7 linked regions of the Rattus norvegicus genome follow. The protein of the gene in region 1 purifies or fractionates together with the protein of each later gene. This does not show direct contact. Links are inferred from orthologs where the notes say so. Each region holds a gene or a part of one and is shown in the gene's direction. Other genes may lie near its edges.

What was found.
Region 2: the proteins of Cdc37 (region 1) and Fer purify together in Homo sapiens (affinity purification with mass spectrometry; 3 studies listed by BioGRID and IntAct, with this or other methods). This does not show direct contact. The link is inferred for Rattus norvegicus from reciprocal best matches to the Homo sapiens genes CDC37 and FER.
Region 3: the proteins of Cdc37 (region 1) and Ddx17 purify together in Homo sapiens (affinity purification with mass spectrometry; 3 studies listed by BioGRID and IntAct, with this or other methods). This does not show direct contact. The link is inferred for Rattus norvegicus from reciprocal best matches to the Homo sapiens genes CDC37 and DDX17.
Region 4: the proteins of Cdc37 (region 1) and Src purify together in Homo sapiens (affinity purification with mass spectrometry; 3 studies listed by BioGRID and IntAct, with this or other methods). This does not show direct contact. The link is inferred for Rattus norvegicus from reciprocal best matches to the Homo sapiens genes CDC37 and SRC.
Region 5: the proteins of Cdc37 (region 1) and Yes1 purify together in Homo sapiens (affinity purification with mass spectrometry; 3 studies listed by BioGRID and IntAct, counting the BioPlex papers as one, with this or other methods). This does not show direct contact. The link is inferred for Rattus norvegicus from reciprocal best matches to the Homo sapiens genes CDC37 and YES1.
Region 6: the proteins of Cdc37 (region 1) and Ppp5c purify together in Homo sapiens (affinity purification with mass spectrometry; 4 studies listed by BioGRID and IntAct, with this or other methods). This does not show direct contact. The link is inferred for Rattus norvegicus from reciprocal best matches to the Homo sapiens genes CDC37 and PPP5C.
Region 7: the proteins of Cdc37 (region 1) and Rps6ka3 purify together in Homo sapiens (affinity purification with mass spectrometry; 3 studies listed by BioGRID and IntAct, with this or other methods). This does not show direct contact. The link is inferred for Rattus norvegicus from reciprocal best matches to the Homo sapiens genes CDC37 and RPS6KA3.

What each region holds. Positions count from the first base shown.
Region 1 is NC_086026.1:27,956,931-27,960,430, reverse strand, and holds part of Cdc37 (hsp90 co-chaperone Cdc37), read left to right. Parts: intron 1-1,203; coding exon 1,204-1,482; intron 1,483-1,761; coding exon of another isoform or gene 1,762-1,908; coding exon 1,909-2,017; intron 2,018-2,109; coding exon 2,110-2,225; intron 2,226-2,305; coding exon 2,306-2,428; intron 2,429-3,500. UniProt on the Homo sapiens protein: Co-chaperone that binds to numerous kinases and promotes their interaction with the Hsp90 complex, resulting in stabilization and promotion of their activity. Inhibits HSP90AA1 ATPase activity.
Region 2 is NC_086027.1:111,103,463-111,106,962, forward strand, and holds part of Fer (tyrosine-protein kinase Fer), read left to right. Parts: intron 1-540; coding exon 541-747; intron 748-3,500. UniProt on the Homo sapiens protein: Tyrosine-protein kinase that acts downstream of cell surface receptors for growth factors and plays a role in the regulation of the actin cytoskeleton, microtubule assembly, lamellipodia formation, cell adhesion, cell migration and chemotaxis.
Region 3 is NC_086025.1:112,983,248-112,986,747, reverse strand, and holds part of Ddx17 (probable ATP-dependent RNA helicase DDX17), read left to right. Parts: intron 1-378; coding exon 379-529; intron 530-1,826; coding exon 1,827-1,926; intron 1,927-3,354; coding exon 3,355-3,488; intron 3,489-3,500. UniProt on the Homo sapiens protein: As an RNA helicase, unwinds RNA and alters RNA structures through ATP binding and hydrolysis.
Region 4 is NC_086021.1:166,543,353-166,547,487, forward strand, and holds the start of Src (proto-oncogene tyrosine-protein kinase Src), read left to right. Parts: upstream 1-1,335; coding exon 1,336-1,585; intron 1,586-2,741; coding exon 2,742-2,841; intron 2,842-3,051; coding exon 3,052-3,069; intron 3,070-4,135. UniProt on the Homo sapiens protein: Non-receptor protein tyrosine kinase which is activated following engagement of many different classes of cellular receptors including immune response receptors, integrins and other adhesion receptors, receptor protein tyrosine kinases, G protein-coupled receptors as well as cytokine receptors.
Region 5 is NC_086027.1:120,645,671-120,649,659, forward strand, and holds the start of Yes1 (tyrosine-protein kinase Yes), read left to right. Parts: upstream 1-1,189; 5' UTR 1,190-1,404; exon of another isoform or gene 1,405-1,855; intron 1,856-3,989. UniProt on the Homo sapiens protein: Non-receptor protein tyrosine kinase that is involved in the regulation of cell growth and survival, apoptosis, cell-cell adhesion, cytoskeleton remodeling, and differentiation.
Region 6 is NC_086019.1:86,829,006-86,832,505, reverse strand, and holds part of Ppp5c (serine/threonine-protein phosphatase 5), read left to right. Parts: intron 1-2,185; coding exon 2,186-2,333; intron 2,334-3,500. UniProt on the Homo sapiens protein: Serine/threonine-protein phosphatase that dephosphorylates a myriad of proteins involved in different signaling pathways including the kinases CSNK1E, ASK1/MAP3K5, PRKDC and RAF1, the nuclear receptors NR3C1, PPARG, ESR1 and ESR2, SMAD proteins and TAU/MAPT.
Region 7 is NC_086039.1:39,348,185-39,351,684, reverse strand, and holds part of Rps6ka3 (ribosomal protein S6 kinase alpha-3), read left to right. Parts: intron 1-867; coding exon 868-957; intron 958-2,653; coding exon 2,654-2,812; intron 2,813-3,500. UniProt on the Homo sapiens protein: Serine/threonine-protein kinase that acts downstream of ERK (MAPK1/ERK2 and MAPK3/ERK1) signaling and mediates mitogenic and stress-induced activation of the transcription factors CREB1, ETV1/ER81 and NR4A1/NUR77, regulates translation through RPS6 and EIF4B phosphorylation, and mediates cellular proliferation, survival, and differentiation by modulating mTOR signaling and repressing pro-apoptotic function of BAD and DAPK1.

The sequences.
Region 1 (3,500 bases):
GATTTTATTTCAAGACAGGTTTCGCTGAGTTGCCTAGGCTGGCTTGGTACAGACTCAGTCTTCCTGCCTCAGCCTCCCAGAATGCTTGGTTACCGGGGTGCTCCACCGTGACCACTTAGGGCTTTCTTTGGTTTTGCTTGTAGTGCTGGCGAAGCAACCCAAGATGTTTCAGGATGGTAAGCAGGGGCCAGCAAGATGGCTTAGTGGGTAAAGGCACTTGCCACCAAGCCTGACAACCTAAGTTCAATCCCTAGTGCACACGCGGTGGAACTGCTGCCCATGGTCCTCTGACCTTCGCATGTGGCTGGGTTTTATTGTTGTGCGTTTGTTTCCAAAATTAAAGTGAACAAGGTGTCTGTTGCTTAGTTGCTCCCATCACACAGTCAGTTACTGTTGCCCTATCTTGGACCTGCACTTGAGAGGCAGAAGGATCAGGAGTTCAGGTTCCTTCTCTGCTACATAGAGACAGTTTCCTTAGTTAAATCTAGTCTTAAAAATACAGAAACGTGGGGACTGGAGACATGGCTCAGTGGTTAAGAGCACTGACTGCTCTTCCAGAGGTCCTGAGTTCAATTCCCAGCACCCACATGGTGGCTCACAACCATCTGAAATGGGATCTGACATACATAAAATAAATAAATCATTTTAAAAAAAATACAGAAACGTGGCAGCAGAGCACCAGCAGGGAGGCAGCACATGGCAGTTTGTACTGCAGTAAGGACCATGGGTGTAACCTGACCCAGGTGTGTCTGGTCCCTGTAGTAGCAGGGTAGCAGTTTGGAGGCCAGGGGTTGGACATCAGTACATGCATCTCCTGGGGTCAAGTCCAGTACAGAGATTGAAGCCTGGGGCCATTGCTGGGCCAATACGAAGGAACAAAGTTGTTCTTCCCCTCCCCCAACCCAAAGTTTCTCTGTCATCCCTTTTCCTAGAACTCACATTGTAAATCAGGCTGGCCTCGAACTCGAGGCCAACTCTGCCTCCCAAGTGCTGGGACTAAGGGTGAGCACCACCATGCCCAGCTCCTAAAGTCTTTCTTTTTTTTTTTTTTTTCTCCTTTTTCTTCTTTTTTCTTTTTTTCGGAGCTGGGGACTGAACCCAGGGCCTTGCGCTTGCTAGGCAAGCGCTCTACCCCTGAGCTAAACCCCCAACCCCTCCTAAAGTCTTTCTAAGTGACCGGCTGCTAACTGTCCCTGCCTGCAGGCCCGGGTGGAACGCATGGAACAGTTTCAGAAGGAGAAAGAAGAACTGGACCGGGGCTGCCGGGAATGCAAGCGCAAGGTAGCCGAGTGCCAGCGCAAGCTGAAGGAACTGGAAGTGGCTGAGGGTGGTGGCCAGGTGGAGCTTGAGCGGCTTCGAGCGGAGGCACAGCAGCTGCGCAAGGAGGAGCGAAGCTGGGAGCAGAAGCTGGAGGACATGCGCAAAAAGGAGAAGAACATGCCCTGGAATGTGGACACACTCAGCAAAGATGGCTTCAGCAAGGTGGGACACCGGCAAGAGCGCTATGGAGTACGGTCAGACTGACTGGGGTAGTTGGGTGGTGGAGGCTAGACATGCCTGTAAAGACCCTAGGTCCACCCCTGTCTCCCCATCCCAGTAAACCAGGAAAAGAATTCTGACATTGAGAGCCAGGCAAAGCATGGGGAGGGGTGTGAGGGCAGGGGATGGACGGACGGTCAGACAGACAGTCAGACAATTTGAGCTTGGGATTGGCTAGTGGAGGCCAACGAAGCCCATCCGTACCCTCTGATCTGCCCGAAGGCCCGCGGCCATGCCTCCGCCACCTTGATGCACTTAGCGACGCCACCGCCTCCGATGTGGACAGGATGGGCGCGGCGGCCACGGCCCCCAAACCCCAGGCGCACCCCTGCCTTGCCCCAGCCCACTTGCCCTCTCGCCCTGTCACAGAGCATGGTCAATACCAAGCCTGAGAAGGCAGAGGAAGACTCAGAGGAGGCAAGGGAGCAGAAACACAAGACCTTCGTTGAAAAATACGAGAAACAGATCAAACATTTCGGTAAGCTGCACAAAGGCTCCATTAGGAGTCAAGGCCAGGGAAGGCTTCCAACAGCCTCTGCAACGTCTTCTTCCCAACATCCTTCCCTGCAGGCATGCTCCACCGCTGGGATGACAGCCAGAAGTACCTGTCAGACAATGTCCACCTGGTGTGCGAGGAGACAGCCAACTACCTGGTTATCTGGTGCATTGACCTGGAAGTCGAGGAGGTAAGTACAGCCTTGCCCGGCTGCGCAGACTCCCCGACCCTGGCGCCGGCTGACCGACACCCTGCCTCTCTGTCCTGCAGAAGTGTGCCCTGATGGAGCAGGTGGCTCACCAGACCATGGTCATGCAGTTCATCCTGGAGTTGGCCAAGAGTCTGAAGGTCGACCCCCGGGCCTGCTTCCGGCAGTTTTTCACCAAGATCAAGGTAATGATTCCTGTACCACCAGGTCTACAGTGTGTGTGACTAGGGACCCGAGGTCAGTCTTTATGAGCAGCACTTGAGGTGGTCTGGGGATAACAGTGGCCAAATGTAGCCATATTTGTTTTTTCTCAAATCTATAAGAATTGTATGGATCTATGATGTGTGTATATGTGTGGTATATATATATGTGGACGTATGTCTCTTACATATATGTGTATGTATGTATGATGTATATGTGGACCCATATGATCAGGGGACAGCATTGTGTGGTTGATTCTCTTTACCTTTATGTGGGTTCCTGTGCTCAGACAAGCTGTTAGGCTTACAAGCAAAGCACTTTCACCCACTGAACCACCTTGCTGACCCTATTTGAGGATTTCTATTTATTTACTTTTAATATTTAAGTAATTTTATTATATATTATAATGTAAATTATTGCAAAACATTATATAATTCAATGTTTAATTTTTTTTGGGTTCTTTTTTTTCGGAGCTGGGGACCAAACTCAGGGCCTTGCGCTTCCTAGGCAAGCGCTCTACCACTGAGCTAAATCCCCAACCCCTCAATGTTTAATTTTTTAATTTTTTAGCCTCATTTTTTTTTCTTTTTCTTTTTTCGGAGATGGGGACCGAACCCAGGGCCTTGCGCCTGCTAGGCAAGCGCTCTACCACTGAGCTAAATCCCCAACCTTTTTTTTTTTTTTTTTTAATAGATAAATATTTAATTTTTGGTTGCTGTGTGTGTGCCTGAGTGAGTTTATTTGCACCATGTACATGCAAGTATCTTCAGAGGCTAGAAGAGGGTGTTAGATCCCTGGAGCTGGAGTTACTGGTGTTTGCAAGCTGTCATGTGGATAATGGGTACCGAACTTGGTTCCTCTGAAGGAATGGGGATGCTGAGAGCAGGGCAGTGTAGAACAGTTGAGAACTGGGGTGTCTCTAAGACCTTGTTGGAGTACACTGAAGATGTGGTACCTGCCAGTGCTTGTGAGCTGAGCCAGGAGACTGGCCATTAGCAGATGGGCCCACAAGCTTGTAGAATGGGCACTGAATACAGGAGACAAAGGCCAAGCCTT
Region 2 (3,500 bases), on another chromosome or scaffold:
GGGCTTTATCTGCCATTGCTTTGCAAAGCCATGAGTGGCCATGTGGCAGAGTAATGGCTAACAGAGGTACAGTAGAGGAGTGGGCATGAGGAGCTCAGTGAGGTGGCTTCGGGCTGAGCCCGAGACCCTTTCCTACCTGTTGTTATGCATGGAGCACAGTCTGTTAATCAAGTCAATGCAAACCATGTTCAGTGTGTTTGTTAGAAATTACTTGGAAATATTCTTTCATAATTTTTCTGATTGGTCAATATTATTAAATAAATTTATTTTATGATAATGGGAATAAGATTAGGACTGTTGACCTGAAATGCTAATGTCCCTGTGCATGATAGAAAGAAAGTATCAAAGGATAGTTACTTGTGCTAAACTTCAGTCCTCATACTCCAGGAAACATTTGTTAAAAATAATTATGAAAATGTCAGAATTATCATTTAATTTTTAATTGACTGATAAAGGCAGAACATATATACAAAGTACTTGCAAAGAATTTTACTAGGAAAAATATGTTTTTTTATAACTTTTGTTTAAATATTTGTTTAGCAGCTCTCTGACGTGATCTCTGTGGGTGAGAAGCCCCTGGCGGAGCATGACTGGTACCACGGTGCCATCCCCAGGATAGAGGCACAAGAACTGCTGAAGCAGCAGGGAGACTTCCTGGTGCGAGAGAGCCATGGGAAACCTGGTGAATATGTCCTTTCTGTATATTCTGACGGACAAAGGAGGCACTTTATCATACAGTTTGTTGATGTACGTGTCCAGTCTAGTTCATACGTATACATTGACGTAATCCATTGTGGTAGACTTGAAATATACTGGTGGATGGCTTATGAGAATTGCTTTCCACACTCTTAAGTTTAACATTAACTCTGCAGTAACTCCATAGACATAATGCTCTGAAACTGACTGAAATATTGATCTTACTGAGAAAATATCATTAAAAAGTTAATAAAGTTAAATTTAAATGGAAATCTCTAAAACGTTGAATTTGAGTACTAAAGTATTTTAAGTTAAAAACAAAAGTAAGGGAAATACCCTGTATTTTCTTTCCAGTAGTAAAATTTAAGGTTATGAGCTGTGTACCTCTTTAACTAGTTTCAAACTATAATCTATTTTGTTGAGTAGCATTAAGGAAAGTCTTCAATTCAAGAGGACTTAATTTATTTATGATTTACTATTACTGTTTTTTCTATTTTTCTTTAATATCTGTTGACTTTAATAAGCAGTAAATAGAAAATGATAAATATAAACAGTATATTCACATTATTTATTCCAAAGCTAATACTTTTGGAAGTTTTAAAAATTTAAGTTACTTAATGACTTACTTATGATCATTGTGTGCGTTTGTGATGTGTGGGGACAGGGCAGTGCTGCTTTTCACATGCGTGCAGGTCACATGACAGCTCACCAGAGTCACTTCTCTCTAACTCTTTGGCTCTGGGGAGTCAGACCCAGTCTGCCAGGCTTTTGCAGCAAGCAGTAAGCATACTCACCCACTGAGCCCTCTCATAGGCCCCACCCACTGAGCCCTCTCATAGGCCCCACCCACTGAGCCCTCTCATAGGCCCCACCCACTGAGCCCTCTCATAGGCCCCACCCACTGAGCCCTCTCATAGGCCCCACCCACTGAGCCCTCTCATAGGCCCCACCCACTGAGCCCTCTCATAGGCCCCACCCACTGAGCCCTCTCATAGGCCCCACCCACTGAGCCCTCTCATAGGCCCCACCCACTGAGCCCTCTCATAGGCCCCACCCACTGAGCCCTCTCATAGGCCCCACCCACTGAGCCCTCTCATAGGCCCCACCCACTGAGCCCTCTCATAGGCCCCACCCACTGAGCCCTCTCATAGGCCCCACCCACTGAGCCCACTCATAGGCCCCACCCACTGAGCCCTCTCATAGGCCCCACCCACTGAGCCATCTCATAGGCCCCACCCACTGAGCCTTCTCATAGGCCCCACCCACTGAGCACTCTCATAGGCCTCAGCATTGCCAAGCCTCTCCATAGTACACTGGCATTATTAGGCACTAAATAGATGAATAGTAATTTAGACATTTTCCCCTTTACTTACTGAGAAATTTATAGTGTCAGTGCTTTTGGCAAATGAATTGTTGCCTGCATTTGTTATTTTTCAGTCCATTATTTGAAATTGCTCACATCTGAAAAATGCCTGTCCACAGCTTTAGTTTATGTCAAGGCACAAGGCTAATACTAGGTACCTACAGAAAGATTAACCACAACCACAATAAGCAAAGCCTATAGGATTTTAGTGACTTAGAAACTTGTATACATACAAGTGTGAACTTAGGGTTGACTGATTGAGCCATGAAACTTAGATTAATGGGCAGTGATGAATTAAAGATAAAAGCATATTTTAAAATAAAATTTTGGTGGAAATCTTTATATAATGGCATTGTTTATTCTCTTGTTCATTCATTCATTCATTCATTCAGAATATGCTTACTGAGTATTATGTTAGAACTAAACATATGAGCCAGCAACAACACAGAAGTAATATTTGATATGTGAAATTAGCAGTTAGTTGAATATATTAAAAAGGTACTAATAAATCATAAAGGAAGGACGGAACGTAACAATAGCAGAATCCAACACTGAACATTCATCCCTGACTAGATCAGAATCTAACCAGAAAAGCTAGCAGAGGAGCAGCGGAGTTGACCCATATCCTGGACACATGGGGTGGAGACGTTATAGAGCATTCGTCCAGCGACCACCGACTAAGCCATCCACTCAACTGCCGTGCACTGAGCTTTTTCCAGGACAGATTATGTCACAAAACAGTGTCTTTTAAGAATTAAACAACAACAACAACAACAACAAGAAAGATGAAGGCCCCTTTCCGATCTCTGTGAAGCTGGAGCCCAACACAGGAAGACCCTGGAAGCAGTGTTAATGCATGGGAATGGAACATTTCCCGAGGAAACTGCCACTAAAGGCAGCAGATGAGAAATGTAAGATAAGCGAGAATGGACGTACATTACACTGAATCTTACAGAACTCGGCAGATGTTCCCATTCTCATAGTGAGAGCCTTTCACACACACACACACACACACACACACACACACACACGTTTGTGTATGCATAAACATATAAATATAGCCCGCTAAGACTTTTTTGTTTATGTGCATATAGTTTGGGAGCCACTTGTACTGGACAGCCATTTGCAGGGCTCCTCCATGGGAAGAGCCATTATCCATTGCCTGTAGTGTCTTGTCCAGGGGTGTGACCCCATTAACCCCCCCACCCCCGTTCATAGCAGCAGGACTTCAGTAGCTTTTTCTTAAAAGAAGAAATGTAAACAGTAACAGACATTTATGAAAGACGTTCAACACCTCTGATGATATCAGTTAGACCACTGGGAACACATCTGCTTTTCAGAAGACAGACTTGAGAGCTGAAGCTGGGAGGAAGTGGAGAAAGAAGCATACATTTTGTTGGGAATGTCAACTAGCGTGGTCATTGTGGAGATCAGTGCGAGG
Region 3 (3,500 bases), on another chromosome or scaffold:
GGTTCTTTAGAGTAAACTAAACACTGGACCTAGTGTCCCAACTAGTTTGCCTTTATAGATTAGCAGAGAAGTTCTGGCCCCAGCATCAGTGGGGAAATTGGCCAAGAAGCTGTTGTAAATTTGAAGGACTTACGTGAAGACTGTTTTTCTCCCTGTCCACAGTTTAAACTGCTCTTGCAGTTTAAAAGAGTACCAGTTCCCTACAAGAGCAGAGACCATTCGTTTTTATTCTGTCTAGAATCTCTGGTGCCATTTAAAAACTACACTTAGTATCAAGTTGGTATAAGTAATTTTGTCAGTGTTTGTGGGTGGAAAACTGAATCAGTGCAAGAAGTCTGAGATGGGTACTAATGAATCTACATTTTCTGGTGTCTCTAGGTTTGGAGCAAGAGGTGGTAGTGGGCTTCCCCCGAAGAAGTTTGGTAATCCTGGGGAGCGGTTACGAAAAAAGAAGTGGGATTTGAGTGAACTCCCCAAGTTTGAGAAGAATTTTTATGTCGAACATCCAGAAGTAGCAAGACTGACTCCGGTAAGAAAAGGGGGGCATGAGTGAATGTTTAAATAGAGGTTAATAATCCAAGTGTTTATATCTGATTTTATATTATGTCATCTTTAATTTGTTTTTGTGTGTGGGTATTTTATTTGTTTTCTGAGACAGGATTTCTCTGTGTAGTCCTTTGATATCCTGGAACTCAGCCTGTAGACCAGGCTGGCCTCAAGCTCAGAGATCCACCTGGCTCTGCTTCCCAAGTGAGGTTAAAGGCATGTGCCCCATCAAGTTTCTTTTAATGTTTTTAAGTAGGTTGTTGTTGTTTAGACAGGATTTTGATTTGTGACCCCAGTAAATCTGGAACTTGCTATGTAGCCCAGGCTGGCCTCAGACTCAGATCCACCTGCATCTGCCTTCCAAGTGATACAAGGACTAAAGAATTATGTCACCATGCCTTGCCTTTGTGTTTTAGTTTTTATGTGATAAAATCATTCTATTTGTAGAATGGTCTCACTATGTAGTTCCAGGCTAGTCTTTAACTTGCTGTCCTGTTACTGTATCTCCTGGACTGCCAGGGTTCTAGGCATGGGAAACCACAGCCTGTGATCTTTTTTTCTTGGTCAAACTCTGAGCTTTGTCCATGAAGACAGGTAATCAACCACTGAGCTGATATTCTTTAATGGTGCTACGCTCAAACCTAGCACCATATGCATGTGACTTTAGTCCTCATACTCGGAAGGCAGATGCAGCTGGATCTCTGAGTCTGAGGCCAGCCTGGGCTACATAGCAAGTTCCAGGTTTACTGGAGTTGCAAATCAAAAGCTACCATTAAGCTACATACTTGTAAAATTAGTTTAACATTGTATATTTGTGTGCTTTTAACCTCCTAATGGTGTGTTCTACCCAGAAGATAGCTTATCCAGAAAAAATTATATAATGGAAAGAGAGTTTGGGCCCCAAGTTGTGTTTGTTGTAGACTGTCTCACTGTGTAACCCTGGCTGGTCTGGAACTTGTTTTGTAGATCAAGTTAGGTGTGAGCTTGAGTTGCTGTACAGAGAAGACAAAGCACCACTGGCCTGGCTAGGGACTACTCTTGAGGGTTTTCTCCTCCTAGTCATGTGCGTCACAGACTTGGATTCATGTAAAAAGCCTTAGCATATGTCATTGTGATAAGTTTCTAAATTGGGGCTGGGGATTTAGCTCAGTGGTAGAGCGCTTACCTAGGAAGTGCAAGGCCCTGGGTTTGGTCCCCAGCTCCGAAAAAAAAAAGAACAAAAAAAAAAAAGTTTCTAAATTGAGAGCTTTTATTATTGTCTTCATTTTTCTTCCCCACAGTATGAGGTTGATGAGCTACGTCGAAAGAAGGAGATTACAGTGAGAGGGGGAGATGTTTGTCCAAAACCGGTCTTTGCCTTCCATCATGCAAACTTTCCGCGTAAGTGGTTTTTAATCCTGCATTACAGAGGGTACTTAAAGGTTTTGAAAGTTTCAGGATTTTGTCTAGAAGATAAGTAGAAACCTTTTATATAGAAAAGATAGTGGCCAGGTGGTGGTAGCAGTGCACACCTTAGATCCCCAGCACTCGGGAGGCAGAGGCAGGCAGGTTTCTGAGTTCCAGGACAGCTAGGGCTACACAGAGTCTCAAAATAAAAGAAGGAAAAGAGTAATTTAGATGGGGCCAATCAGGTGGGTGAGAGAGTGTGGACTGTGTCTTAGTCAGGGTTTCTATTCCTGCACAAACATCATGACCAAGAAGCAAATTGGGGAGGAAAGGGTTTTTATTCAGCTTACATTTCCATTTGCTGTTCATCACCAAAGGAAGTCAGGATGGGAACTCAGGCAGGGCAGGAAGCAGGAGCTGATGCAGAGGCCACGCAGGGATGTTACTTACTGGCTTTTGCTCAGCTTGCTTTCTTATAGAACTCAGGACTACAAATCAGGGAGGGCACCACCCACAATGGGCTGGGTCCTCCCCCATTGATCACTAATTGAGAAAATACCTTACAGCTGGGTCTCATGAAGGCATTTCCACAACTGAGGCTCCTTTCTCTGTAATAACTCCAGCTTGTGTCAAATTGACACACAAAATCAGCCGGTACAGACTGCCTGGGTTCAAATTTGGAAACCAAATAAACATGAAAGGAGGACACAGATCCACGCTGGCACACACCCAAAATAAAATTTTAAAAGTTTTTATTTTTTAAGATAAAGCTTCACTATAGATCAGGCTGGCCTGGAGCTCAAAGATCTACCTGCCTCTGCATCCCGAGTGCTGGGATTAAAGTCATGTGCCAACGCACCTGGCTTTGAATAGTAATTTTCTGTGTTTCTATTTTTTTAGAACAGAGATTAGTTACTACTATTGATAAACATATTGTGCAAATTTTTGTGTTTTGAAAGATTATTTGTATGGAGTGAGGTTCCTGGGGAGTCCAGAAGAAGGCACCAGAATGTCTAAAGTTGGAATTACAGGCACTTGTTAGTCTTACCTGGATCCTAGAAACCAAACTTGGGTTCTCTGCAAGAACAGCAAGCACCCTTAACAGCTGAATCGTCTCCTCAGCCTCTGCTTTGTTTTTGGTGCTGAAACTTCCACTAGTGTTCTGCCCGTGTTTTATAATGGAGCAGAACGTCGCTTCTGCGATATTGTAGGGACTTTGGGAACAGTAAATGAGCCATGAGCTGCTGCCATTGGGTGTGTTAGGATAGTGTTGGGTAATGTTGGGCTGGCCAGAGATTGGATTTAAAGTTTTTGGAGAATAATAAAAGTCAGTCCTACCATCGGTAACTGCTACTTTTTAAGGACTTGATATGCATCCTTAGTTTTATTAGTAAAGGTGGTAATGTGTTTCCTTTCTTACAGAATATGTAATGGATGTGCTGATGGATCAGCACTTTACAGAACCAACTCCCATTCAGTGCCAGGGATTTCCTTTGGCTCTTAGCGGCAGGGATATGGTTGGCATTGCACAGACTGGCTCTGGAAAGACATTGGCGGTAGGTACTGAG
Region 4 (4,135 bases), on another chromosome or scaffold:
ATGAAGCCTTCTGCTTGGTCCCTCTGTGTCGAGGTCTCAGGACCTCTCAAACTTTCTCTCCCTTTCATCTTTCATTTGGTTGTTTATTAAGCACCTGCTGTGTACCTCACTCTGTGCGCACCAGGAATTAAAAGGAGAGGGGGTTACATATAGCCAAGGCTGGTACAGTAGTCTGGGGGCTCCTGAAAGGATTTGGAGACCCCCTTCTAAAGGATATGACTTGAAACATTTTTGTTGCTTGCTCTTCCTTCCCTCCCTCCCTCCCTCCTTCCCTCCCTCCCTCCCTCCCTCTCTCCCTTCTTCCTTTCTTCTGTGCGCTTATGGGAAGGCATGTATGTGAACCACGAATGTGTGAAGGTCAGACGTCAGAGGACAGCTTGCAGGACCCTTTCTCCCATCTCTCTCTCCACCATGTGGGTTCTGGGGACTGAACTGAGGTCAGCAGGGTTTATGATAGGTGCCTTTACCTGCTGAGCCATCTCCCCAACCCAGGAAGTGACTTTGAGCTGAGAGTTGAAGTAAACTGATTGGGGAGATGTCTTAGTAAGGGTTATACTGCTGTGAACAGACACCACAACCAAAGCAACTCTCATAAGGACAACATTTAATCATTTAATCGGAGCCGGCTTACATATTCACAGGTTCAGTCCATTATCATCAAGGTGGGAACATGGCAGCATCTAGATAGGCATGGTGCAGGAGAAACTGAGAGTTCTACATCTTCATCTGAAGGCTGCTGGCGGAATACTGGCTTCCAGGCACCTAGGATGAGGGTCTTATAGCCCACACCCACAGTAACACACCTACTCCAACAGGGCCACACTTTCTAATAGTGCTGATCCCTGGGCCAAGCATATACAAACCATCACAGGAGGGGAAGTTGTCAGGGAATTTGCAAAGGTCTTGTGGCTGGAAGGCCTGGCCATCTCCTCTTCAAGCCACTATACTGCTGCTTCAATTAACACTTTTAACACCTTTCCCCCAGTGTTAGACAACTTGTCAGACATGTATTCATTCAGCAAAACTTAAATGAGTCCCTCCTATGTGCTGGGGACACAGATATGACTCGTGTCCCTGCCTATGAAAGACTAAAGCTGACTTTGGGTCCTGCTGGACCCAGGGCTTTGGACTGGTATATATGTCTTCTATCTGTAGCTGTGTCCTAAGGCGCCAACATCTCATTTTACAGGTGAAACTGTGAGACGAACTCTCCCAGGGTGGCAGGGTCCCCTTCTCAGGACCTTAGTCTGCCTATCTGTTTAGTGGGTAGGGTGTCTTGTCTGTTCCCAGATCTCTCCTCTACCTGGGGGATTTCTGTCGCCCCCAGCCAGGACCATGGGCAGCAACAAGAGCAAGCCCAAGGACGCCAGCCAGAGGCGCCGCAGCCTGGAGCCCGCGGAGAACGTGCATGGGGCAGGTGGCGCCTTCCCTGCCTCACAGACACCAAGCAAGCCTGCCTCCGCCGATGGCCACCGCGGGCCCAATGCCGCCTTTGTGCCCCCCGCGGCCGCCGAGCCCAAGCTCTTCGGAGGCTTCAACTCCTCGGACACTGTCACCTCCCCACAAAGGGCGGGGCCTCTGGCAGGTAGGCCCTCCTCCTTGCTGAGTGTCCCAGAGCTGTGGTGCACCCTTTCTGGGTTCTGGGGACTTGGTTTTCCAGAGGCTGCGAATGGAGAAGGGCTCGTAAACTGGAAAGCGGGGCTCCTGCCGCTTTGGGGATGCCAGATTCAGAGTATAACGGGTTCCGAAGGAGAGGGTTGTAGGGGACCCCGAGACCCGGAGGAGAAGGACCACCATGGACTAGCTGCCACCTCCCGCCCAGCCTTTGTTCCTGGCTCTGTTGTGTGGTGGCCCGAGTGCGCCCCTGCGCCCTCTGCTGGCGCTGCGTGGTGCGGCAACCCTGCCGCCCAGGGGCTGAGCAGGGTGACTCATGCTCCTGCATACATGGCTACACCCACACGAGCAAATCCCACGCTCTGACGGAGCCATACTCACGGCTGCACACCCGTGCGTGCAAATCCCGCACTCGGACTCAGCCACACGCACGGCTGCACACCCACTCGTTCAGATCCCACCCAGACTCAGCCATGCTATGTGCCCACATTGGGCATGTCCTCGCACTGAGTGGAGACGACAACAACAACAAAAGGCCCCCAGTGTTCCTAGAGACACACCTAGGCTAGACGCCTGCAGTGCGGAGCACACACAGACACAGGTGTGCATACAACCTCGCCCCCTCAGGTGGGCCTGTGCGCCTGCTTGCACGCAGAAAGCAGACATGGGCTAAGGTTCCCAGCCCCACATCCCACCACAGACCCTTGGACAGGCTGCCCACTCCCTGCCATGCAGCCACACACCCATTCGACCATTTGAGAGGCGTTTGTGGAGCCTTGGGCAACGGAGGGTGGGCTGCAGGAGTCCAAGGAGCAGCCGTGGGTGAGGGGAGAATCAGGAGAAGAGTCCTGAAGCTTTGCACCAAAGCCTTAAGTTGCCAGGCACACATATAGGCGGGGCTTAGGGCACCTATTGTGTGCTGGGTCTGAGTGCAGAGCAAGGGAACCTGTTCTCTGGGGCTTCTGCTTGTGTCAGTAGACATATCAGATAAGGAGCACCTAGTCTGCAGCCCGGCAGGGAGGCACAGGCTACTTAGCTCCCTCTCAGGGACAGGCTGGTGAGTGAGAAAGGCAGCCTCCCACGCCCACCCCCTGCAGGGTTCTGACACCTCCCATCCCACTCTGCAGGTGGGGTGACTACCTTTGTGGCCCTCTATGACTATGAGTCACGGACAGAGACTGACCTGTCCTTCAAGAAAGGGGAGCGGCTGCAGATTGTCAATAACACGTGAGTGGATGGACGGGGACTGCACTGGGAGCGTGGGTCCATCTATACCCAGAGCTGCCGGCAGAGGGCGGTGCAGAGCCTACAGGGCTGCTTCTGCAGTTGGTGGGTGGTGGTCCTCCCTAGACCCCGACTAGTCTCCTCCCTTGTCCTGGGTCCTGTCTTCGCACCTCAGCCTCTCCTTCTCTCTGCTTCTCTCTCGCTGGCCCTTAGGAGGAAGGTGGATGTCAGGTGTGTACCGAGGCCAGGTAGAGGGGGATGCTTCGCTGAGGCTGGGGACTGCTCTCTGCATGTGCTTCCTCCACTACCCCTGTGTGTCTCCAGCTCTCTCCCTGTCCTTTTAGCTTATCCTGCATCCCACCTGTTTGATCCGACCCTCCATTTTCTCCCCACACCTTCCCGTTAGCTCTCTTCCTCCCTCTTCTGGTGTGTGATTCCATGACTGGGTGCCAGCTACTTGCAGGACCCAGTGTATTCTGGAGGCCAGGGAGGGAGGCAGTGTGGTGGGGAATGGGTTACCCCAGACTAGGCCAGGGGTGGGTAGGAGCAGTCTGGGGTCCCTGCAAGATGACCCTGAGAGAGGGGGCTGTCTCTATCGGACTGCCCATCCAAGGAAGGACAGTAAGCTACTGCAGGTAAGGGTGGGCAGTCTCCCTGGGAGGGGGGCAGCTGATGGTCTGTGCTGGGCTGAGGACCTCTCCCTGGAGCAGGTAAGGCTTGGGGACTTTGATCTGAGCTGTTCTGGAGGGTAGAGAGGATCCGTCAGAGAGTGCTCCCAAGTCCTGGCTAAAGAGGTGGGTTTTCCATTTCCCTATGCGTGTCTCGGTGCTCATACCTCCTGATCCTTGTGCATGCTACTCCGTTTGCCTGAAATATTTCTTCTCCTGTATCCACCTGGTGAACTCCTATTCACCCCTCAAGATCCAGGGTAGGGCTGCCCTCCCTGCAAGCAGGTGCCATGTGCTGTTCTGGCCACTCTCATTCATACCCCTCCATCTTGTTATCACTGGTCTTGGGGGCAGCAGTGACGGGGGAGGGGCTGCTCTAGTTTGTGAACGAGGAAACTGAGGCTCAGAGTCATGAAGGCCCTTGTCAGAGGTCACGTGACTGCCAAGTAGTAAGCCCAGAATGGAGCCTGCTCTCCTTTCTCTGGACTGGCACCTGGGGAGGGGCCTCCTCAGTACCTCCTTCAGTGGCCAGCGCTCCTTCCATCCTCATGGGAAGCCCCTGAGTCCCCATGTCCCCAGCTGTTGATAGAATTGGTGGCCAGGAGGAGAAGCGGTGTGACCCTGGTGCT
Region 5 (3,989 bases), on another chromosome or scaffold:
GTTTATATATAAAACGTAATGTCTCAGTCAATGGCAAAATAAATCACCATTCTACATCACACGTAGGTGCTCATGTGGATTCCCATCCCTTTCTTTGAAGAAACTTTTTAAAACTGTGTGCATTTAAGTTCCTAGAATACCAGAATACTGACAGAGTCGATGGTGCTATTTAGAATATGCCAAAGATGATGCTGAACTTCGCTGAAAACCACAAAGGAAACCAAGAGTCCCACATTAATACTTCGAATAACCCCATCAAAGAGGAAATACAAAAGGGAAATTAAGAGTGTGATAAGGCAGATGTGCCTTTAGCAGAAATACATCTAGATTTAGTCTCTTGACCTTGACTTTCATCTTTACCCCAGTTCCTCCTGAACCCTTACTTTTTCTACAAGGCAAGTAGAAAAAGATGCAAGGCCTCCTGAGGAAGAGAAAACCCTTTCATTGTGACTTCTTCACTTTGGGGGGCCCTAACCTCAGTTTCCATTGCCCTCAAGCAGAGTCACAGTGCCTGTTCGGGTTCCCTATTACTAGGATCAAATAAAATGCTGTCCCACGCTAAGTGAAAGCCACCATTCCTGGGAGAGTTGCCAACACAACTCAGCTTCGGTTCCACTCCCGGCAAGGCTGGTTCGACCTACAGTCAACAGGAAGCTTCTGGGGCAGGGACAGGATCCCAGCTAAGGAAAGGCCAAACGAGAACGTTTTTGGACCGCGACCAAGGTGTCAGCACCGCCCCGGTGGCTCTCGCGGTTGGACTGAGATTTTACTATTAGTGACAAAGGGTGCGGAGACACAACGTTGAGAAACGAACAGTCAACCTCTCTCCAAAGAGCCCCAACCCCGACCACCCTCCCAAAACAAAGCCCCACACTCTTCGGTGTTTCCGTGAGCCAGGCGGAGCCCTGCTTCGCTCGTAGAGGTAGTCCGCGCGCGGGCAGGCAGGGAACCACAGACTGCTTTCTCCTCACGCCCCCTCAGGAGCCCGCCCAGCCCCCGCCGCCATGTTGGGCCGGCAGGCGTGACACTGACAGGCCTCCCAGCCGCCCGCGGACCCCGCGCAGAGCTCCCGCGCCGGAAGGCGCTCCAAGCAAGCAGCAGGGCGCGAGTTCCGGTGAGCGGGCGCGCGCAGGTAGCCGCAACCCCTGCCCGGCGCGCGGCCGCCCCAGTCGGGAGCGGAGGGGCGGGGCCGGCGGCGAGAGGAGGAGAGAGGGAGGCCGTGGGGTGCGGGCGCCCGGGAATTCCCTCCTCCTCAAGTAACGCGTCCCGGGCCGGCTGTGCGGCCGTCGCTGCCTCCCGGCGCCCCGCAAGCAGGAGGTGGAGAAGGGAGAGGGCCCCGCGGGCGTCCGCCTCGGCCGGCCGCCTTCTCCCCGAGGCGACCCGTGCGAGTGCGGCCGGACCCAGGTAAGCTCGCGGCGTGGCCTCGCAACGTAGGCGACTGACCCTGGCCGGGCTGCTCTAGGCCTCGGCATCCGCCCTCCTGCTCCCCGGCTTTTCGAGGCGCCGCCGCTCCCGGCTCTGTCCGCCTGCCGGGCGGGGAGTCTGGAAGTTGAGGAGAAACTTCTCCCCTCCCCCGGTCCGGCCGGCGGGCGGGCGTGTCTCCTGGGCTCACTACCTGCTTGCCCAGTGCCTCGGTCCCCGCCCTTGTCCAGTACTTCCCGATCCTGCGGGAGTCCGTGCAGTGATCCAGCCTCTGTGGTGCCGCCGCTGCACCCTGAGTCCTGAAGGGCGTGGAGTCACTCGCGACCCTGAGGTAGGGGAGCGGCCCCTTATCGTCCTAGCGGCTGGAGGTCTGTGTCGCCGGACGCCCGCAGCAACTGTCCGGAGCGAGGAGTGGAACGCGGGAGGCGAGAGAGTGAGCGGCGAGTTGTGCTTGGTTTGATTGAAAACCACGACGTGTTTATAAAGTTTTCCTTTGTTTGGTTTTGAGGGTGTTGGGACATGTTACAATCAGTGGCCACTTTTAAGGTGTCAAGCCACTCCGCCTTCCCTTGGGTTCGGCTCTCTGTCCTCCTCTGTTAACGAAAATTTTGTTTGAGCGTTTTTTGCTTCCTGATAATTGCTTCCAGCTTTTGCTCTATTGGGCTTGGGAAAGAGTTGTTTTAAGAAAGTGGGAATATCGTTTCTAGCATAGGGATTGCTGTAGTGAATGGGGGTACAGCGTAGTTTTGATGTGGTTATTCTTTGCATAAGTGATTGAAACAGCAGTGGAATGACTAATGACAGTTATCGAAATAAATAAAGGAAAAGTCTGCAGTTGAAACATAACGTAGTACCTCTCTCGTGTGTTCCACAGCTGTGTTTTTTACATTAGTGATTTCACAGGATATTGTGGTTTAGTATATTCGTGCATTATGTAAAATTACTATACTAAAAGTATCTTGACAATTGAAAGTGTTTAAACATCCTGTGTTTAAATTTAATCTAAATTTAAATTACATACTAATGAAAATGTCACTAAGTGTGCATATGTGACTCCATTTAAGGCTGAATGCATGCTACCTCTATTAACCAGCACAATGGTTGTGGACTGGAAACATTTTGAGTGGGAGGATAGGGGATGTTAAATTAAAAGCCAAAGTTCTTAAATGCATCACGTATGAGAGAGAACACAACTGTAGGAAAGTTGTTCCTCAGGAATTTTTTTCTCTTCTTCTTGCTATGTCAGCATTTAGCTATATCTTATTTTTGAATACCAGCAAAACCTCAGTGAAAATGTAAATGCTGGTTGACATTTCAGTGGGTCCTAAATTTGGTGAGGGAGAGAGAGTTTGCTTTTGATTGAAACTTAAATACAAGACTATTTATATTCCATGTTTCTAGGATAAAAGATAGAACTCTTAAAATGTGTACTTTACCATAAAACTATGGTAATGTTATCATACCTTTAATTTTGTAGCTAGGTTTTGCTGACTTCACAAACCACAAAATTGACTCCTTTCTGTTCAACTGAAAGTGAAATTACAGCCTTGACCTGTCTTCTTGGGATAGGTGTGAAATTTGTCTTATGACCAAAGAATAATATTAATATATAGTCAGACATTGTTTTTAGTTCAGGAAATTCTCAAAAAAGCACTGTCTCTGCAAATAAAATTTTATTTCATTGCATATGTAAATAAAAGAATATGCTAAAAGAGCAGGGACCCAGTACAAGGGAAATACTACTAATCCCTGTTTATTTGAAGTTCAAATTTGCATAATTCTAACAGTAAATAGCATTTACTGTGGGTAATTTTTTAAAAAATGTATTTAGCTTCCAATTCAGTGAGGCACTTCAATGTGGGCATCATTTATTAGTCTTAGTACTATTGTTTAGGAAAGAAACTGTACTAATTTTTTTTTTTTGAAGCACAGTGCTAGGCTCTGATGTCTAGGAATGCAAATTTAAATGATCAAATTATTATTGTAAAAAAAAACCTACAAGGAAGTGATTTGCATAAAAACAAAGATAGGGAGGGAAGGAAGCAGCTGTGATAAGGCCAGACTTCTACAGCAGTAGGAAAGTTCTCTGTCCTTGGGTCTTGGAGGAGCTGGTCTTAATTTATCAAGTCATACATTTGTATGTTTGTCTCTTAACCTGGGTTTTATATTTTACATAAAAATACTTTTAAGAAGCCTAAATATAATGTAATGTAAAATGTGCTTAGGTTAAATTAGTAATTTAATTTTTAGGATAATCTGGTTTCCTGTCACAACCTTTAGTCATTGATGTCTGGCTTAAGGGCTCTTCTTTGCTAACAGGTTTAGATTTCCTGCATCATAAGTGTCATATACTAGTTCGTGTGTGTAATTTACTCGAAAATACCATACACTTCCAAATGTACAGTAATGAGAGAATTTTTTAAGAAATGTTTCTTATTGAGTTCTTGATTTTTATTGTTATTTTAATGTTTTGAGAGAAAATGTTGTGTGTTATTAATTTTAAATATAAGTACTAAATAGTAAGTAACATGTTTATTGAATAAATAGGTGTTGTTCTTTTATCAGGT
Region 6 (3,500 bases), on another chromosome or scaffold:
AGAACTGCACAGAGGTTCCAGGGAGTAGGGGTCACTCACCATGGTGGCAGCTCCCTGCTCCATCTTTCTCCTTCGTTTGCAGTCTACCTGGAGACACATCCATCTCCTAGGAATTGCTGGCTCCCCATTCTTCCTTAAGGAGGCATTCTCTGCTGAGGACCCAGCTCTGTCCCTGGCCTTGGGCTTCCTGGGGGAGAGGAGCAGAAAGGAGCTTAGATTTAAAAGTGAAATGTGTGGGCAAAGGCAGCATGACCAAAAGGCCTCAGCTACAGGAGAGCTGGCATCCTGGGGACCTGTGAGAGGCAGTACCAGGCTACAGAAAAAGATAGGGCGGGCCTTGAGGGCCAGACCTGGAGCCATGTGGACTTTATCCTGGGAAGCAGAGAGCCTGGCCTCCCTGCCTCTCCCTGGGAAGGGCTCCAGGGGCTGCCTAAAGCTGGCAGCCCTCAAGCTTGATTCCACACCCACACCCCAGTAGAGCTGCCTGGCAGGTGGCCCAGCTAGGCTTGCCTAGCCTGCTGCTGGCCAAGCACCTGCAGGGAGTAGCGGTTGTCTTTGCCCAGGCTCTGACTCACTCAGTCACCTAGCTTTGGGGGGAGGGCACCATTCTGAGGACCAGCCCTAGGAGTCCTCTGTCTAACAGCATGGAAGCTGTGGGGAACCCAATCTAAGGGTGGCTGTGTAGGTCAGCAGATGAATGACAAAGGGGCAGGGGTGCAACACACATGTCATATAGGGAACTCACAACAGACCAAAATTCAGATACCACCAGAGTCAACATGGTAAAGCACTGGGTTTTATTGGGGTTACTTACAGGAGTATAGGTAAGGGGTTACGTGTATAGGAGCAGAAATGACTCAAAGTCAAGTCATATCACCAAAGCCCACTCTAACACGGGTGACAGCTCACAAAGTGGGAGCCTAGAGTACACTGCACAGCATACAGGCAGCTCAGCATGTTGGCGACTATCCTCTCCTAGTGACTCAGTTGGTCTAAACATCTTCCAGGCACCTCAACTAGTCTCTGTTTCTTCTAGGCAGCTGGTTTGGTCTTGTCTTCTCTGTAGCTTGGCTATTCTTTGCAGTCTTCATTGTTTTCTCTGGCAGGGAAAGGCTTAGTGAATCCAGTCAGTTTCAGGGCCTTCCTGAAAGCTATTTTGAGTTGTTCACCTCTCTGCTTAAATACCTTCCCTGTAGGATGAAATGTTTCAATCTCAGAGGAATCTGTTAAACAACAGAACATCAGGCAGGTCCAGTTACAGTTATGGTAACCAAGCAGAGGTGCAGGGAAGCCTGCTGCCCAGGGTCCCACTCCATAGCCCAGACTAGCCTGGGGTTCCCAGTCCTGCTTCCATCTCCCAAGTGCTGACATTGCAGACATGCACCACCAGGCTCAGCTCTGTCTTCTGAGCTCTTGGGATTCATTTGGGCTTGTGGGAAGCAGGCAGGGCTCCTTTAATTACTGTGGCCCACAGCTGACCATTGGATATTTTAAAAGTATTCCCTGATTTACTCTTCCAGCTCTCCAGGGCGACTGCTGCCAGTGTCCCTTCCTAGAGGAGAAACTGAGACCAGCTGAGATAATCCAGGCAGCCCCATCATCACTGGCTAAGCTGGGACTTGAGCTGTATCTTCTATCCCCATTACCAGAGGAAACAGGAAAATTAGAGCCCCAGTCTCCCAAAAAGCCCCAGGGAAAGCAAGCTGCTGACTGCCACCTACAGAGTCCCTCTTATATGCCAAGTCCTAAGTCCTTCCACAGACTCCACTTCACAGACCGGGACACTAAGGTGCAAAGAATCCAGGCTGTTCTAAGACTCTGGCCTCACCCACCAGCTGCACTGGGAACCTGAGACCTGTGTGTTCAGCTGGACACCTGGTTGGCTGTAACAGGGCCAGAGGTGTTTAGTAAGAGCACCTGCTTGAGCTGAAGCCCTGTCTCTAAAGCCACCCTGTGGGGCAGCTCTTCTATGCTTGGTGGGGATGTAAAAACTGAGTCGTGGGTGACACAGGCCCAGGGTTGCCCTGCTAGATGTGGTAGCCCCTGGGTGGTCTGACTCAGCCCAGGGGGGTATAGGCCAACGACATCACAGTGCCCCTGGTGGCTCCTCTGGGATAGGTGGCTGGCTGTCCAGAGAGTGACACCTGTTCCCTCCCTCCCTCCCTCCCTCCCTCTTCCCGTCCAGGTGGTGAAGGTGAAGCCTAATGACAAGGATGCCAAGATGAAGTACCAGGAGTGCAGCAAGATTGTGAAGCAGAAGGCCTTTGAGAGGGCCATTGCAGGCGACGAGCACAGACGCTCTGTCGTGGACTCTCTGGACATCGAAAGCATGAGTGAGTAGGCCTGACTCTATACCCCTACACGCTTATCCCTGCTACACTTGGTTGGTAAAGACAAGGTCTCAGAGGGCATCTGAGAATGTAGGTGTCACCTACAACTGCTGTCTTCCTTGGCCCTCTCCCTCCATGCCAGTCCTCTCTCTACATCCCAGTCCTCTCTCTACATCCCAGTCCTCCCCCTCCATAACAGTCCCCCTCCCCCCAATCTTAATCATAACAGGGTGACTTATGACTAAACTCAGGGTGTCAGGATTTTTCCTTTGTCACATTCTAACAGGTGCCTTGTCCTGGCCCATTCCCTTCTGGTTAGACTCAGGGTGCGTGGTGCCAAACGTGTTGGTTCTATTTCCCCACCATGTCTTATGGATGAGGTGGCCTTTTTATTCACTCTCGCGCTTGTTTTTGCCTGATGAGCTGTGGACATCAGCTGCCCCCGTCAGGTCCTGAAGAATTCGAGTATAATGTTTATAGTGCTATGCTTAAGACTTCCCCAGGTTCCAGTAATCTGTGACAACACTTCACAGTTAGAAGGGGAGAAGGGGAACTAAGATGGGGAAGAAGAAACAGTAGTGGGATCGCTGTGGCATCTTTCTCTCCTAACAAGAGCTGTGTCTACCCCATCTTCCAGATGGCAGGTGGATCCTTAGATTTTCTCAGGTGTGCAAGTCCAGGGTTTCTGTGTATCAGGACAGAGACATAAAGGATCTAGTCTAGGCTGGCCTCAAACTCATGATGGTCCTCCTGCCTCAGCTTTCCAAGTGCTGGGCTTACAGAGCTGAGTCACCGTGCCTGACATCTCCCCTCATTTAGCCAGCCAGTCCTTTGGATGCTTGTCCTCTTTCCTCTGTGGTGAACTGACTGAGGAGCATGTTTCCCTGCCACAGTGTCAGTGTTGAATCTTGTCACAACCCATTTGTAGTCCCCTGAGGCCACCACCATCACCCTGACTCACCAGCTCTTTAGGGAGTTCACCCACAAGACTATCCCATAGCTACCAGCAGTTAGGCTGTACCTGAGGAGACAATATCTAGACTTGGCTCCCTCTGCTGTGCTGCAGCTCCCATGTTCATTCATTTCCTGCAGCCTGGGCTTTCTGGCGTTTGTACCAGGGATCCCTAGAAACTACCAATGGTCATTCACCATCCCTGCTTTAGTGAGCTC
Region 7 (3,500 bases), on another chromosome or scaffold:
TTTAAAAGTATATATGTATGTATAGTACTTGAAAATATTAAAACATTTTAAAATGTTAAACAACTGACAAATTTTTAAAAGCTACATTATTATTTTAAAGAGCTTTATTCTAGTCAAGTAATTTTTTCAGGGTTGTTTTATAGAGAGCTTTCTACTTAGCTTCAAAAATAAGTTTGTTTACTTAATTTTTTAAAAATTTTTATTAGATATATTTCTTTACTTACATTTCAAATGTTAGTCCCCTTCCAGGTTCCCTGTCCATAAGCCTCCTCCCCCTCCCCCATATGCATATTCCCCCGATACATCCCCCTTATTGCCCTCCCCATATTCCCCTGCATGTTTACTTAATTTTTATAAGTAGCTTACATCCAATGTGATAGTCCATTAGAATACTTAATTAAAGAAGCCAATTCATACAGATGCTAATGCTGGTATTTTAGACACATTTATCTCAAAGTCATCTGTATTGATAGGGAATTAGAAATTAACTGAATTCTCAAATGTTTGAGAAATTAAAAGATGAAAAGAAATGATATGATACCTTGTTATTGGTAGGTTTTCCTGAGGCTTTTGAGTTTTTAGTAAGTCACAACTGTGCTAAAAAAAAAAAAAGAAAAAACTCACCTTGGAGTGACCTGGTAGGAATGTAACCTGGTAGGAATGTGTCACATGGTTAGCTTTACATAGCCTTGCCATCTGTATGGAGACTAGCTTTCTAATTAAATAATCTGGCTAAATAGCTAACTACAAATGACTGATAAGTGATTTGTATGCGCAATAGTTACATATGATGATACCTAAGGTCTATAACTATAAACATTTGAGGTTCATGTTCATAAAATTTTATGTTAAATATCTTCCTTTTAGATTATTGATAAAAGCAAGAGAGACCCAACAGAAGAAATTGAAATTCTTCTTCGTTACGGACAGCATCCAAACATCATTACCCTAAAAGATGTAAGTAGATTATTTAACAAACTCAAATTTGAGGTATTTTTCAATATTTAATATTCTGAATTAGACAGAGACTACTTTGGAATAATCATCCTAGAAAGTAAGTTAGAATGGATGAATGTGGAAATGATTATCTTAAGCAAAGTTTCCAAGACTTTGACCTAGACTTATTTTATTTTAGTGTGTGTGTGTGTGTGTGTGTGTGTGTGTGTGTGTATACAAATAAGACATATAGGTCATGAAACTAGAAAGGTGACCATGAAAGGTGATAAAGATATCTTAAGGGAAGTTTGAGAAGACAACATGAGATCATAAGAGTAGGAAGGAGGGAACCAGCAGGACAGACACAGATTAGAGGGGAATGTAGTGGAAGAAAAGGATTGATTTTAAAAAACAAAAGAGTATGTATGAAAATCCCATGATGAAACTCAATACTTTGTATACTAACATATATATGTACATACACACATACATGTATATGTATAATATACATATATGTGTGTAGATATATGTATAATATATCTACACACACACACACACACACACACATATATATATATATATATATGTATGTATGTATGTATGGTAGATTAAGAACAATATTGTAGGACCTAGGGAGACAGCTCAGTGGTTAAGAGCACTTGTTGCTCTTCCACAGGACCCAAGTCCATTTCCTAGAACCCAGTTCAGGTGGCTTACAACCAATCATCTGTGACTCTAGCTCCAGGGGATCTGATGATTCTGGTCACTACAGACACTAACACTCACATTTACATGCATGTGTGCACATGCACAGAGATAAAAATAAATCTTAAAAATTAATAAAAACAAAACCTTAAAATATGTAATTAATTTTCTAGTTTTGCTCTAAAACCTAGTTTAATATTATTGTTTATAGTATGTGAATTTGAACATAGAAAATGTTAATGTTAATCAAGATTGATTCACTTCTCTGAAGGCTCCCAAACTGTCTTCCCACCTGCCTTCCTCTACAGCAGTTCTCCATATTTCATTACACACGTTCTGGCCATGCTTTATTTGGAATGAAGACTTTTTAAAGCATGCATGCCTTATTTTCTTCAAGTGCTCTTTGAGTGTGTGGATCCTTAAGAGGGAATATCATGGGTTGGGGATTTAGCTCAGCGGTAGGCAAGCGCAAGGCCCTGGGTTCGGTCCCCAGCTCTGGAAAAAAAAAGAAAAAAAAAGAGGGAATATCATTTCCCTTCTTTGCCTGGTTGACTACCAAAGCTAAGATTTCCCTATGGGCTACTTCCTCCCAAGAAGCCTTTCTTGACCATTACCACCTCCAGGGCTCTCCAGATACCTATGTCTCCCATAGCTTTTATTATAACTGAGTATTAACAAAAAAATATCCACTTCCCAGGTAAGTAGTCAGCTCTTTCTTGCTGCTGGTGCTCACATAGGCTCAAAGTCTATTTAGCTAGGGTCAAAACGATTTTCTCAGACTAATTTTTCTTAGATAAAGAATGCCGACTTAGTCACATTAAATATGAAACTATTTACTATAAATGACTTTTTAACCAGAAATCCTGCACTGGTTTTTCACAAGTAAAGTTTTCTTGAATGTACAATTTTTATCTTTCTTTTAATATATTCACTCACCTTTAGTATGTTTAAGTAGTAATTTATGGACATACAAAGCTTCAAATATTTTTTGTTTTGATGTTAAATTTTATAGGTGTATGATGATGGAAAATACGTATACGTAGTAACAGAACTTATGAAAGGAGGTGAATTGCTGGATAAAATTCTTAGACAGAAGTTTTTCTCAGAGCGAGAGGCCAGTGCTGTCCTGTTTACTATAACCAAAACTGTTGAGTATCTTCACACACAAGGGGTAAGTGTTTTATATGCACATATTTGTATGTACATCCTTTTATGTTAATACCCAAACTAAAATTAGAAATTCAAAAATAATAGAAAAACCGTAATGAGCTTCATTATCCTACTGTTCTTCCTTTACACAAATCTTTTTCATTGAATCTGAGGTACTTTAAACTCTTAGCATGCTTATATTCAGCTGTTATGCTTTCCAGGAAAAAGTTAATGAGATCTGCAGATCTGTAAATCATAGCACTCTGTATCCTCGGAAACTAGGCCCACTTCTAATGAAGCAGAAAGGGAGAATGCTGATGTGTGTCTATGTGCACAAGTGAATGGTCTCCTTGTTTCCTCCTGCATATGTATTTTAGTACGTGGAAAAAACACTTATATTTTCAAAAGAATGCAGTCTGTGGAAGAAAGGGAGAAAGGAAAAAAATAAAAATGATGTAAGATGAAGGAGTATCAGGGGGAGTTTTGCTTATTTTTTAACACTTTTTAATTGAGAGAAATACATTTGCGGTATATATCAAAGATTTTTAAACACTTGCATCTCTGTTCTTGGATGTGTGTGCACATGCATATGGATCATAGAGGACAACATCAGTGTCATCCTCAGGAACACTATCTATCTTTCTTGGACCAGGGTCTCTCATTGGCCTGAACCTCACCAATTAATGCTAAATCCACAGCTGATGAGCCCC